Linked DNA regions of Anolis sagrei. Each later gene encodes a partner of the first gene's protein in a complex. Links are inferred from orthologs where the notes say so. Each region holds a gene or a part of one and is shown on either strand. Other genes may lie near its edges.

What was found. Proteins that work in one complex are often made in the same cells at the same time.
Region 2: STX18 (region 1) and VTI1B share a complex: the UniProt entries of both Homo sapiens proteins name them as parts of the SNARE complex. The link is inferred for Anolis sagrei from reciprocal best matches to the Homo sapiens genes STX18 and VTI1B.

Annotation. Positions count from the first base shown.
Region 1 is NC_090025.1:106,541,864-106,549,894, forward strand, and holds the start of STX18 (syntaxin-18), read left to right. Parts: upstream 1-5,011; 5' UTR 5,012-5,081; coding exon 5,082-5,267; intron 5,268-8,031. UniProt on the Homo sapiens protein: Syntaxin that may be involved in targeting and fusion of Golgi-derived retrograde transport vesicles with the ER.
Region 2 is NC_090021.1:281,960,805-281,967,709, forward strand, and holds the start of VTI1B (vesicle transport through interaction with t-SNAREs homolog 1B), read left to right. Parts: upstream 1-3,853; 5' UTR 3,854-3,909; coding exon 3,910-4,027; intron 4,028-6,905. UniProt on the Homo sapiens protein: V-SNARE that mediates vesicle transport pathways through interactions with t-SNAREs on the target membrane. These interactions are proposed to mediate aspects of the specificity of vesicle trafficking and to promote fusion of the lipid bilayers.

The sequences.
Region 1 (8,031 bases):
CTTACTGTAGCCAATTTTTTTTTTGTGGTGTCAGGAGCGACTTGAGAAACTGCAAGTCGCTTCTGGTGTGAGAGAATTGGCCGTCTGCAAGGACGTTGCCCAGGGGACGCCCGGATGATTTGATGTTTTTATCATCCTTGTGGGAGGCTTCTCTCATGTCCCCGCATGAGGAGCTGGAGCTGATAGAGGGAGCTCATCCGCCTCTCCCCAGATTTGAACCTGCGACCTGTTGGTCTTCAGTCCTGCTGGTACAGGGGCCTAACCCACTGCGCCACCGGGGGCTCCTTGTAGCCAAATGAATACTGATAAGAATCACAAATACCAACTAGTAGCATGGATTTTTTTTTAACCTTGGACCCATTCTGGATCTATTTTAGCATAGGACACATTTCGTTCTGGAGAAAGGCATACACACACCACCCTATGCAACAGCTATTTATATTACACTGTTTTAATCAAGTCACAACTTAAAAACAGTTCAGATGATGTAGCAAAGATTATTTGTTATCCTTACCTGGCAACTCAGTAAGGTGGCCTGTGGGTAGAGAAAAATAAAATAAAATGGTCTGGTTTTCAACGAGATCAAATTGTGAGGTCGTTTTTTCAATTCTTTGACTTCTGTTAACAGGGCTCCACATTTTAAGCATCAGAAGAACTTGAAATTATTTTCTTTTAACTTGGTGATCTATTAATGGAAATTGCTGTGAAGATAAGTCAACTTGGCAGAAGACTATTTAAGTTTGCAGGAAAATAATACAGAAGATGCCATCCTGCTGCTGGTTAAAAGCCAAAGAGTGTGTAATATGGCTCTGTTTTTTTCTTCTCTTCAACTAAAGTCTAAATATCCATTTAACTTCTAGGAGAAAAGGGGGTAGCTAGTATGTCATTCCCATCCAGTCAAATATCTTTCCCTGCCGTTTGAACCCATTGCTCCCTTGTGCCCTGGTCTCTAAAGCAGCAGGAAATCCTCAATGGGACACCTTCTGGAATCTTGAAACATGGTTCTCATGCTCCCACTCTACCTTCTCTTCTCCCAGCTAAACATCCACCCAGGAGGAAAGGAGGAAGGAAAAAGAGAAGGGAGGGAGGAAGAGATGATTGGAAGGAAGGTTGGAAGGGAATGGTTGGAGGGAGGGAGGGAGAGAAGGGAGGGAGGAAAGACAAAAGGGAAGGAAGGAGAAAGAGAGGAGGGAGGAAAGAGGGAAGGAAGGAAGGATGAAAAAATGGAAGAGAAGGAGGGAGGGAGAAAAGGGTAAAGAAGGAAGGAAGCGAGGGAGCGAAGGATAAGACAGTGGGAGAGAGGAGGGCCTGAGAAAAAAGTCCAAGGGGCTGCATTTGGCCCCCAGGCATGGGTTTATCCACACCTGGTCTGACACATCACCTCTTAACTTTCTCTTCTCCAGTCTAAACATACCCGGCTCCCTAGGCTGCTCCTCATAAGGTTTTGGCTTCCAGGCTACTTTTGGTTCCTCTCAATAACAATATCCTTCTTAAATTGTGGTGCCTAGAACTGGACGCATTATTCCTGTGAGGTCTGATCAAAGAGTGGAGTCAATAAAATAGATAAAACAAGACAATCATTTCCCTCAATCTGGGCATTATACTATTGATGCAGCCTAGAAAAGTATTGGTTTATTTAGCTATCACACCACACTGTTGACTGTGTGGAAGGGGCCATAAAAAACACAACAAAATCCCTACAAATCAGGGTTTACTAAATTGCTATTGAATACACAGGGCATGGTTTTAATGTTGTTTTGTTTAACAAATAGCTGTAAGGAACTTTTGGCAGCTAAATAGGCAGACATTTGCAGGCAGTGGCCTCTTCTGGTGGCAAAGGAAACCAACTCTCAGATCAATAAATGCAACAATTTTTATACAGCAGCACCTTTTGCGCTAAGAGTGCCTTGGACTGCGAGAAGATCCAACCAGTCCATCCTCCAGGAAATAAAGCCCGACTGCTCACTGGAGGGAAAGATACTAGAGACAAAGTTGAAGTACTTTGGCCACATCATGAGGAGACAGGAGAGCCTAGAGAAGACAATTATGCTGGGGAAAGTGGAAGACAAAAGGAAGAGGGGCCGACCAAGGGCAAGATGGATGGATGGCATCCTTGAAGTGACTGGACTGACCTTGAGGGAGCTGGGGGTGGTAACGGCTGACAGGGAGCTCTGGCGTGGGCTGGTCCATGAGGTCACGAAGAGTCGGAGACGACTGAACGAATGAACAACAACAACAACCTTTTGCGCAGGGAGCACGTTCCCAATGATACTATGAAACAAAATTTGGGAGTAAAAAATCTGTTCTTGGTTTGAAAGGGTTATTTCCTTAATTGTGCGGTACTTACTTTGAAGTAAGACTTTGATGCAGACTGCAGCCAGAAAATCAGATGCTTACTTCTTGGGAGGAGAGCAATGACCAATCTTGATAAAATAGTGAAGAGTAGAGACATCACACTGGCAACAAATATCCTCATAGTAAAAGCAATGGTATTCCCCGTAGTCACCTATGGATGTGAGAGCTGGACCTTAGGGAAAACTGAGCCAAGGAAGATAGATGCTTTTGAATTGTGGTGTTGGAGGAAAGTGCTGAGAGTGCCTTGGACTGTGAGAAGATCCAACCAGTCCATACTTCAGGAAATAAAACCCAACTACTCATTGGAGGGAAGGATATTAGAGGCAAAGATTAAGTACTTTGGCCACATCATGAGAAGACAGGAAAGCTTAGAGAAGACGATGCTGGAGGAAATTGAAGGAAAAAGGAAGAGGGGCCAACCAAGGGCAAGATGAATGGATGGCATCGTTGAAGTAACTGGCTTGATCTTGAAGGAGCTGGAGGTGGTGATGGCCGACAGGGAGCTCTGGCGTGGGCTGGTCTATGAGGTCACAAAGAGTCAGAAGAGGACTGAACGAATGAACAACAACAACATACTTTGAAAGTAGTTGTTATACCCCAGAAACTTTGTTTTTGTGGCTGCCACAAACAATGTTGAATTGGTTGAGACTGGATGAGAGAGTCATTGAAAAACCATAGCAAAATGTGCTGCAGGATAACATGCAAACACAAAGTTTTGTCTGTTTAATAAAAAAAATCTCATTTTCTTATGATAGAACCAATTCGGAAATGGCATTTATAACCCAGGAACAAAAATCGTGTTGCATAGTGAAATCTCCTTGGGATTCACAGCTGTGAATATGGCATCGCGGGAGAGAAGTGTCCTTAGGAGGGCGACTAAAACAATCAAGGGTCTGGAGAACAAGCCCTACAAGGAGCAGCTTTCACTTTCATTACACCCAAGGCTTTTTCACTCTTAACACATACAGATTTTCAGGGAAGTCATGCTACCTGTCTATTCTGCCTTGGTTAGACCACATCTGGAATACTGTGTCGAATTCTGGGCACCACAGTTGAAGGGAGATGTTGACAAGCTGGAAAGTGTCCAGAGGAGGGCAACTAAAATGATCAAGGGCCTGGAGAACAAGCCCTATGAGGAGCGGCTTAAAGAGCTGGGCATGTTTAGCCTGAAGAAGAGAAAACCGAGGAGACATGGGTTGTTGTAGGTTTTTTCGGGCTATATGGCCATGGTCTAGAGGCATTCTCTCCTGATGTTTTGTCTGCATCTAGGCAAGCATCCTCAGAGGTAGTGAGGTCTGTTGGAGCTAGGAAAAAGGGTTTATATATCTGTGGAATGACCATGGTGAGACAAAGGACTCTTGTCTGCTGGAGCTAGGTGTGAATGTTCCAACTGACCACCTTGATTAGCATATAATGGCTTGACAGTGCCTAGAGCAAACTTTTGTTGAGAGGTGATTAGATGTCCTTGTTTGTTTCCTCTCTGTTGTTGTGCTGTTGTAATTTTAGAGTTTTTTTAATACTGGTAGCCAGAGGAGACATGATAGCCATGTATAAGTATGTGAGAGAAAGTCATAGGGAGGAGGGAGCAAGCTTGTTTTCTGCTTCCCCGGAGACTAGGACGCGGAACAATGGCTTCAAATTACAAGAAAGGAGATTCCATCTGAACATTAGGAAGAACTTCCTGACTTTTTTTTTTATTTCGTGTCAGGGCAGCCAGTCAATTATATTACATTTCTAACAGAACAAAGCAAACAAACAGAGAAAATACAAAATTTGTGAGTTTGGTAGTTGATTAAATGTCCTTTGACCAGTATCTGGCCACTTGGAGTGCTTCTGGTGTTGCTGCAAGAAGGTCCTCCATTGTGCATGTGGCAGGGCTCAGGGTGCATTGGAGCAGGTGATCTGTGGTTTGCTCCTCTCCACATTCGCATGTCAAGGATTCCACTTTGTAGCCCCATTTCTGAAGGTTGGCTCTGCATCTCGTGGTGCCAGAGCACAGTCTGTTCAGCGCCTTCCAAGTCGCCCAGTCCTCTGTGTGCCCAGCGGGGAGTTTCTCATTTGGTATCAGCCATTGGTTGAGGTTCTGGGTTTGAGCCTGCCACTTTTGGACTCTCGCTTGCTGAGGCGTTCCAGCGAGTGTCTCTGTAGATCTTATAAAACTATGTCTGGATTTAAGTCGCTGACGTGCTGGCTGATACCCAAACAGGGGATGAGCTGGAGATGTCTCTGCCTTGGTCATTTCACTTCCTGACTGTGAGAGCTGTTCAGCAGTGGAACTCTCTGCCCCAGAGTGTGGTGGAGGCTCCTTCTTTGGAGGCTTTTGAACAGAGGCTGGATGGCCATTGTCGGGGGTGCTTTCAATGCAATTTTCCTGCTTCTTGGCAGGGGGTTGGACTGGATGGCCCACGAGATCGCTTCCAACTCTATGATTCTATGATTCTAGGTGAGAATCATGCCATGCTTCAAAATGAGATGCAGGAAGAAAGCAGTCCAAACATCTTTGGGGGACGAGATTACTCCACTACAGGAAGTCCCTACAGGAAGTGAGAGGTTGCCAAGGAAACGTTTTATGAGACATGTCAATTTCAGACAGGGCGAGGGCGTCACCAAGAGGGCACTCAGTGGAGGCGGAACCTTCGGGCGCGGCCCAGTTGCGAGAGGGAAGGCTTTGAGGAAAGGACGCGTGGGCAGGAGAGGCCCGCCCACCTGCCCGCCTCAGCCCAGCCATGGCCGTGGACATCACGCTGCTGTTCAAAGCCAGCGTGAAGACGGTGAAGACCCGGAACAAGGCGCTCGGGGTCCCGCTGGGCGGCAGCGGAGGCAGCAGCAGCGACTCCTCCCGCGATGAGGCCCTCCTCATCCTCAAGCGCTCCCGGCCAAGGAGCGACTTTTCCAACCGGGCCCGGGAAGTGGTGAGTCCTCAGGAAGGAAGGAAGGAAAGCTAGCAGGGAGGGAAAGCAGGAAGGCTGCGACGTGGCTCTGGGCTCCTTCCGGGAGATTTTAGGGGAGAGAACATAAAAAGGAGTCTCAATCCTATTGAAAGGAATGACATTTGGGAATCAGTCATTGAACCCAATGGGATTTCCTTGTGAGAAAGTCAGCTTAAACCTCAGAGCCCCTCCAAACAGCTGTATGGCCCAGAATATCAAGTCAGATAATCCACAATATCTGCTTTGTACTGGATTATATGAGTCCACACAGCCATATAATCCAGTTCAATATGGATTTTATATAGCTGTGTGGAAGGTGCCTCAGGGCCCTTCCACAAATCCCTATATCCCGGAATATCGAGGCAGACAATCCCACATTACCTGCTTTGAACTGGGTTATCCGAGTCCACATTCCGATAATGTGTGATTTTCTGCTTTGATATTATGGGTTATATGGCTGTATGGAAGGGCTCTTAGAGGTTTCTCATTACATTTTTGCAACATACCTATATGCATAGGCAAACACTTGTGGCTGAATATGAGAATATAATATTAATAATAATAAACTTTATTTATACCCCGCCACCATCTCGCCAATGGTGGAGCCCCTAGTGGCGCAGTAGGTTAAACCCCTATCTGAAGGTTGACAGGTCGCAGGTTCGAATCGGGGAGAGGCGGATGAGCTCCCTCTATCAGCTCTAGTTCCTCATGCGGGGGACATGAGAGAAGCCACCCACAAGGATGATTTTTTTTTTTGTCGTGTCAGAAGTCGCTTCTGGTGTGAGAGAATTGGCCGTCTGCCAATTTTTTTTGTCACATCAGGAGCGACCTGAGAAACTGCAAGTTGCTTCTGGTGTGAGAGAATTGGCCGTCTGCAAGGACATTGCCCAGGGGACACCAGGATGATTTGATGTTTTTATCATCCTTGTGGGAGGCTTCTCTCATGTCCCCGCATGACAAGGATGATAAAAACATCAAATCATCCTGGTGTCCCCTGGGCAATGTCCTTGCAGACGGCCAATTCTCTCACACCAGAAGCAACTTGCAGTTTCTCAGGTCGCTCCTGACATGACAAAAAAAAATATCCCCAATGAGGACTCGGAGCGGCTTACATGAGGCAAGCCCAAACAACAAATTACAATAAAATAAAACCAAAAACGCAAACAATAAACAACAGCAACATAATTACATAGAACATGTGAAAAACATAGCAATATAAAATTACAGTAGGCACAATCACAATGACAGTGGGCGGATTACATGTAATGGTTAAAAGAGAGACTGATTAAAAACTGATTAAAACTCAGGTGAGATAAGAAAGAAACAGATTATTTGCAGAGGAGGGCTCATTATAGTGGTGGTTGTGGGATCAGGCTTTCCCACAAGGGAGGGCATGTACTCTAATGACAAAGTGTTGATGCACTAGTATGAAGATGTAAACCTATTCATCAAAAGCGCAGCGGAAGAGCCAGGTATTAAGGTTCTTTTTATGATTGTCTTCTGGAGACAGAGCCCCCTTCTAAACTGCCATATAAAATCCAGATTATTTGCTTTGAAATGGATTATATGGCACTGTACACTCATATAATCCAATTCAAGTCAGATGATGCGGATTATTTGCATTGACAATCTGGATTATGTGGCAGTGTAGAAGGGGCCTCATATAATCCAGTTCAAAGCAGGTAATGTGGATTTTATATCGTAGCCCTTCCACACAGCCCCATATCCCAGAATATCAAGGGTGAAAATCCCACTATATCTGCTTTGAACAGGGGGCCCTTGCACAAAGCCCTGTATCCCAGAATATCAAGGCAAAATAAATAAATAAATAAATCCCACGTTATCAGAGTATGGACTTGGGGCCCTTCCACACAGCCCTATATCCCAGAATATCAAGGCAGAAAATCTCACAATATCTGCTTTGAACTGGGTTATCTGAGTTCACACTCAGATAATGTGGGATTTCCTGCCTTGATATTCTTTGATATAGAGCTGTGTGGAAAGGCCTTAAGTCTGTCATTTATGTGTTCACAAGAGAGGTGTTGAAGCTTAGTAGGGAAGATGGACCAACTACCACAGTTCAGATATGCATTTCCGTATCACATTTCTCTTGGTGTTTTCCACTTTTTCTGTAGTTCTTAGGTGAGTTTGAAATCGGCATAGAAGGAAGCAGTGTCGGTGTGTGACTGATTACATTGGAAACACTGGAACTGGTTTGACACCTGTATAGTAATTTCATATAACGCAGAGGTTGACCGTGAACCAGTTCTAGGATCCACAGTATCTGTGGGACTTGATAAATGCAGAGAATGTGGGGGGTTTTTTTTTCAACCCTCTCCACCGGAATGTACATCCTTCGATCAGCAGAGTGTTTTGGGTTTCTGCACAGTGATTCCCATTCTACGAAAGGGGTTTTCTGTGAAATGTGGTTTACACTAGAGTGTGCTTATGTGCATTAAGGACTTTATTTTGGACTTTCCTCTGACTGTAGTGAGCTTGATTTAAAGCCCTTAAAGTGCACTGAGGTATGCCTTTGAAGTGTGTGTAGCCTAACCACCACACACTGAAGAATGGTCAGTGTAGATCTGTCCTTAGGCTCATTTGCTATTTTATTTGTATGTGTATTGGTGCTGGTGGTGAGGATCTCTTTCTACTTGATATTGATAAAGCATCAATACAGGTTGAGCAGCCTTGACACAAAATGCTTAGAACCAGAAGTATTTAGATTCTGCCCCCCACCCCAATT
Region 2 (6,905 bases), on another chromosome or scaffold:
TTATAAACCACCTCATCTGGGCTGGAACTAGTTTGTAAAACTGTTCTAAGCAAACCAAATGCCTCAGTTGGTCAAATGTGGAGACTTTACTGCCTTCAAGCCACCTTTGTAAAGCTTTTTCTATTCTAGAGCCCACCTGTGAATAGGTTTTTCACCATTCTTTCTTTTAATTTCTCTGAAAGTCTTTCTAATTTGCTCCACACTTTCACCCTTTCCTTAAATATAGCATAGTTTGTACACTCAGTGTCCCTTAACTGTGCACATCTTTCACTAAGCTCAGTGTATATCAAAGGCCTTATATGTGCCATCTTTCTTTCCTCAAGCACCTTAAAATCAGCGCAAGTCCTTTCAAAACTTGCGAGGAAACTTTCCACACAGTCCCCTCTTGAGTACTTTGGGAAATGCTTTATTTGAGAGGCTAATGGCTCAGATTGGGTTTCACTTGGACTGGATGTGGGTTGTCTTTCTTGTAATTTCAACTCCATCATCCCTTCTTCATGCTTCATTCTCTCCCTTTCTTTCTCAATCTCCAGTTGTCTTTCTTTCTCTCTAGCCTCCTGTTTCATTCTCTCAGCCTCAAGTTGTTTTTCTCTCTCTCTCTCATTGGCTTCTATCATTCTCTCTTTCTCTCTAATCTTATGTTTCATTTTCTCAGCCTCAAATTCCATCCTCCTAAGTTCAATTTCCATTCTCATCTTTTCCAATTCTAGGGAGGTAGTCACCATTTCTGGACTCTCTACCCTTTCTTCAGTCACAGTCTCTAACATCTCAGCCTCCTGCCTCTCCTCTCCTACTGGAGTTGCTGAGGTCTTTTTATTTGTAGGTGGAGCCATCACTACAGGGTTTCAAAATGGGGTTTCTGGGCAGTTTCTGAGGTACCTCCAGATCACTTTGGGACAAACGTTTACCTCAGGTTTTTGATCTAACATACTGGATCAAGCCTTAAAGTTACTATCCCACCGCTGAACACTCAAAAATTTTAAATCACGCCACTGGTCGTCAGTTTAAAGGATCATAGTTACCAATTCCACAACTAGACACAACTATGATGGAATATGATTCTGGCACAGAGCATTTATATATATGTGAAGTAACATGTATGTACTTTGGTAGATTTGCTGCCACCACCCAAAATACTTTGGGAAATTAAAGAATGATTCCCTGAGGTAATCCTCTTCCTTGCCCACCAGCTCTCCCTTAAGCTCCTTGAGATGACTGTGAAGTAAAGATGGTAAAACAGCTAGTATTATTCCCACTGGAATGAATCACTATTGAGGCTTCTTTAAAGTTGAACTAGAGAATATGCTTATTGATAATACAGAACAAACAACTATCTTCTTTAATGAGGCACACAAGCTTGAATGGTTTCTAAAGTACAGTAATCTTGATGGTTACTATAAACAGTTTCTTGTCTTAGATATGAGTAAAACTCCTCACTCTACAACACAGCAGCAGTGCGTTCCCCAGACAAACCTAACCAGGTTGTCCCCAGAGCAATTAGCTACACTCTAAGCAGAGTCCTCTAAAAGCTAATCTACTCTAACCCAGAGAGCAAACCACTTGTGTAAAAACCAACACAAGCACCCAGGCAACTACTTTGACCCTCTTGGTCAATAATGCAGCCTTGCCTGTCACAAAATGCTCTCTCACAGAAAAATCTAAGCTCACCAAAAATCTACCTTTCTTCTCCTCTGTTCCCAAAACCAATCTCTCTTCTCTCTCTCAAGCTGACACTTTCCCCTCTCTGTGCTTAACTCCTCCCATCTGTCCTAATCAATCCAGAGGGAGCTCCAGCTCCTCCCCTTCTTCTCATTTTACACTCCCAAGATGTCTGCCTCCTCTGCCTAAACTCCCAAAATGGAGGCCTGCCTACTGACATCTCAGGCTCCTACTTTGGCCTACGAAGTAAGAATCATTACATGAAGCTTGCTGGAGAATACAACTGTGTGTGTAAACTGTAAAATAACATGCATGAAGCTGATTGGTTGGGCAATGCATAGGGTGATGGCTGAGCCTGGAACTTTTGGATACTGTTGCACATTTGTTCAGGCTCGAGCTATGCAGCTGCAGAGAGACAGACAGATTTGCTCTTTGGCTGCTGAAAGAAGGTCTCTCATATGGACAAAGAAATACCATTTTAAATTTCTCTAAAAGGACAGTATGTGAGTTGGTGCAACGGATCATATTGTACATATGTTGTTCTGAACTAAGAAGAGTTCAGGTAACACAACAGAGATGGGAGGGGGAAAGTTGGTAAGGATAATTGATGATGGAATTTAAAGGTTTCCTCAGCAGCAATGAACAACCCAAAGTTCGGTCTGTAGAAATAAAGCTATGTTATAATCTCCTTGTTTCTGGTCTCAATTGGGAAACAAGGGCAGGAATATATTTAAAGGAAGATCTGCTTTAATATTTCAGATATTTTTGTTGGATGCCTTTAAGTCACTTCCAGTTTATGGCAGCCCTGTCTCAGGGATTTCTTGCCAAGTTTTTTTTTGGAGGGTTTGCCATTGCCTTCCTAAGAAACTGTGCAGGTTCTAAGCTCTGCCAGGGAGGCCGTCCTCTCGGTCCTGCCCCCATCTCAAATATGGCTGATGGGGATGAGGAAGAGGGCCTTCTCAGTGGTTGCCCCCTGGCTTTGGAACACCTTCCCCAAGGAAATCAGGCAAGCCACCACAATTCAGTCTTTTTGGAGGGACCTGAAGACATAGCTCTTCAAGGTGGCCTTTGATGATGGTTAAGGTATCATCTATATTGGCTGAGCTAAATGAAGTTCTACCCTAACACATTACCCCTGATATTTTTAACCTGTCTTGTGGCTGGGACGTTAAACTCGGTTTGTATAATGTTTTCTCGAAGGTTTTCATGGCTGGAATCAATGGGTTGCTGTGAGTTTTCCAGGATGTATGGCCATGTTCCAGAAGCATTCTCTCCTGACATTTCGCCCACATCTATGGCAGGCATCCTTAGAAGTCGAGGGGTCAGTTGGAAACTGGTAAGTGGGGTTTATATAACTGTGGAGTGTTCAGCGTGGGGGAAAGAACTCTTGTTTGCTTGAGGTATGTGTGACAAGAATCAATCAGGGCCAGCTAACAGCTCCCGACAAAGGATTCCCCCAGGCAGCAACCAGCCAGGCCTTGAAACTGCAGGCCATTAAATGCTAATCAAGGTGGCAAATTGCAACATTCACAGGTACCTCTAGCAGACAAGAGTTCTTTCATTTATTTATTTATATTTATTTACAGTATTTATATTCCGCCCTTCTCACCCCGCAGGGGACTCAGGGTGGATTACAATGTACATATACATGCCATAGACACACAACACATATATACAGAGGCTATTTAACATTCCAGCTTTTGATGAGGGTATTCTGGCCACCAGGGGAGCTGTTGCTTCACCGTCCATTTGTGACACTGATGAAGTACTTCCTTATTCTTTGCATTCTTGCTGGAGATTTTTATGGTATCATAAATTAGTTAAATTAGCCTCCCCGCGTACGCAGTACCTAAATTTCCTACTTGACAGATGCAACTGTCTTTCGAGCTGCAAAGGTTGACAGCAAGCTACACAAATTGGTCGGATGCTCACTCCGACCTGGGCTGGCTTCCAACTCATGACCTTTTGGTCAGTAGTGATCTTAATGCAGCTGACTCCCAGCCAGCTGCGCCACAGTCCCGGTGCAATTCTGGCTGTTAGGAATTGTGGGAGTTGAAGTCCAAAACACCTGGAGGGTCGAGGTTTGCTTATGCCTGTTTCCTGGCGTAATGAGGCCCTCCAGGGCGAAGGGGGCGCTGTTCCGCTGCGCTCGTGGGTGTTTCTGGGCGGTGTGCCGGGCCCCTCTTCCGGTGCAGGGGCCGGAAGTGCCTGTCGGGAAGCGGCAGGGGCCTGTTTCGGGAGGCCGGCGCTATGGAGGGTCGCGGCAGCGGCTCTTCGGAGCACCTGGAGCGGCTGCACGAAATCTTCCGCGGCCTCCACGAGGAGTTGCGAGCTGGGCCGGAGAGGCTGCGCGGGAGCCAGGCGGTCGGTACGTGAAGAAGGAAGGGCCCTCGGGCCGGAGCCTTGGAGGCGGGGAAGAAGGAGGGGACAGATGAGGCCTGGGCACACTTCGGGGGTTTTGAACTCCCAACTCCCACAATTCCTAACAGCCGGAATTTTACTGAAGTAGCCTGAAAAGGGCCGTCACCCACGAGGTCATACCAGACGTGGGCAAACTTCGGCCCTCCAGGTGTTTTGGACTTCAGCTCCCACAAGTCCTTAACAGGCTGTGAGGAGTTGTGGGAGTTGAGGTCCAAAACACCTGGAGGCCCGAAGTTTGCCCATGCCTGCGCTATAATAATGCAGTGAGGATGGTCACACTACACTTCTAAAGGGTTAGTATCCCACTTTAAACCCACTGGCTGCCTCCTCTGAAATCCTGGGATTGGCACTTTAGGGAGGGGCCTTTACAGGCCTGTAGCCAGGATTTCGATTCGGGTGGGGGGGCTGAGTTTGTTTTGGGGGGGGGGCTGAGTCAGTGAAAGAGGGTCTACGCTAGCAAACCTTTTGTATCGTTACTCCAATACCCCCATGCATATGGGATATATTGAGCACGGTGATCAGATCATGATATGAATAAACATAACAGTTTAAATAATGCACCAGTAAGGCCTTTTCGCGAACCACCATGAGAATTTCAGGGGAGGGGGCTAAAGCCCCCCAAGCCCCCCCCCCCCCCCTGGCTACTTACCTGCGCCTTTACAACCCTCTGCCAGAGAGATCCTTATCCTTATTACATTGCAAACCCCAGAACTATGCAAGAGGCAGCCATAGGATTTAAAGAGATGCCCACGCTTTAAAGTAGGGATGGGCAGACGTTGACCAGCTGTTTTGGACTCCAACACTCACAAGTCCTAACAGGCAGTTAGGACTATGGGAGTTGAAGTCCAAAACACCTGTAGGTCCCAAGTTTGCCCATGCCTGCTTTAAAAATGTAGTGTGATAATCTCCAATTGTATACGATTGTAGCACAAGTATTCTATTCTAATTACTATGGCAACATCTCGTGGAATTCTGGGTTTTGTAGTGTGAGGCCCCAGAGCTCTCTGGCTGCATTCTAAACAGCACTTCCTAAACAGCAGATGGAAACAGGTCAGTTAAACTGGAATAATAGTACTATTTTTTTTTGTCATGTCAGGAGCAACTGCTCCTGTTGTGAGAGAATTGGCCGTCTGCAAGGACGTTGCCCAGGGGACGCCTAGATGATTATTGATGTTTTATCATCCTTGTGGGAGGCTTCTCTCATGTCCTCGCATGAGGAGCTGGAGCTAGTAGAGGGAGCTCATCTGTCTCTCCCTGGATTCGAACCTGCAACCTGTCAGTCTTCAGTCCTGCCAGCACAGTGCTTTAACCCACTGCGCCACCAGGGTCTCCATAATAGTACTATAATACTGTAGAACAGTGGTTCCCAACCTTTGGTTCTCCAGGTGTTTTGGATTTCCAATTCCCAGAAATCCTAGCCATTTTACAAGCTGTTAGGAATTGCAGGAGCTGAAGTCCCCAAAACACCTGGAGTACCAAAGGTTGGGAACCACTGCTTTAGAACTACTGTATTTCATTGAAATCGAATGCCCACCTGGTTTGGCTAAATTACCTTCCCAAAATTCGGGTGTGCATTAGATTCATGTAATATGATTTTTTGTGCTGAATCAAAGCTAAAGGCGAAGCTATTTCAGGAGCACCTGGAGCTCCTATTTGAGGGACATCATCTCTAATTTAATTCCCATGGCTCAATGCTATGCAATGTTGGGATTTATAGTTTGGTGAGGAATTAGCATTCTTTGACATTCCAGTCACTCTATAGCATTGAGCTAGGGCAGTTAAAGTGCTTCATTCTACAGCATAGAGGCACCCCAAGGTTCCATTGCTTAAAGCTTTGGTGTTCTAACACTTTTGTTTTTAAAGAAGGAATTATAAGTGCACAGCAGACCTTCTTTGGCCAAATTACAAAGAGTGCACTTTTGTCACTTCGCATTACATTCGCCAGCAAATACTTTTTTTTTTTTTTTTTGGTTTCAGGGTTTTGAAAATTGAGGTCCGCATTAGATTCGATGGCGCATTAGACTTGAGTACATATGAGTATAACAGTGTGGTGTAAGAAGGCCCTACGCTGTTACAGCACTGTTAGTTGCAATCCTGTGGGCCTTTGCAGTTTATTGAGGTACCAGACCTCTCTGACTAGGAATCCTAAAGTCCCCTCCTTCACTGGTAATCCCAGGATTCCATAGGATGTTGCCATGGCAGGTACAGTGGAACAATGCCACTCAAGTGGGAGCGTGATAAGGCCCTTCACTGGTACAGCATTGTTATAAGACAGAGCTTCCCAACCATGTCATGCTGGGCACACACCTTTTAGATATGTATCATTTCACAAGGCGGTAAGTCAGTTTTACTAGCAAACTAGAGGTTAAACCAGCCCCTTCAAAGAAATGTGGACAGATTTATTAATTGGAATGATGAAATGTAGAAAGACACAAAATATTTCAGGAAAACCTTTCATTTATATATTTAAAAATATATGATTTGTAAGATAACACACAGTTCTAAGATTTGTGTCATTTCGTTTTACATTCACACAACACACCTACACACTGCAACCAACACTTTGATGTGAGGCAACACAAAGTTTGAAAAGCTCTGTTATAAGGACTTAAAGAACATTTGACAGTCAAAAGTGATTGTCATAAAGCAGTGGTTCTCAACCTTTCTAATGCCGTGACCCCTAAATACAGTTCCTCGTGTTATGGTGACCCCCAACCATAAAATTATTTTTGTTGCTACGTTATAACTGTAATTTTGCTACTGTTATGAATTGTAATGTAAAATATCTGATATGCAGGATGTATTTTCATTGTTACAAAGTGAAC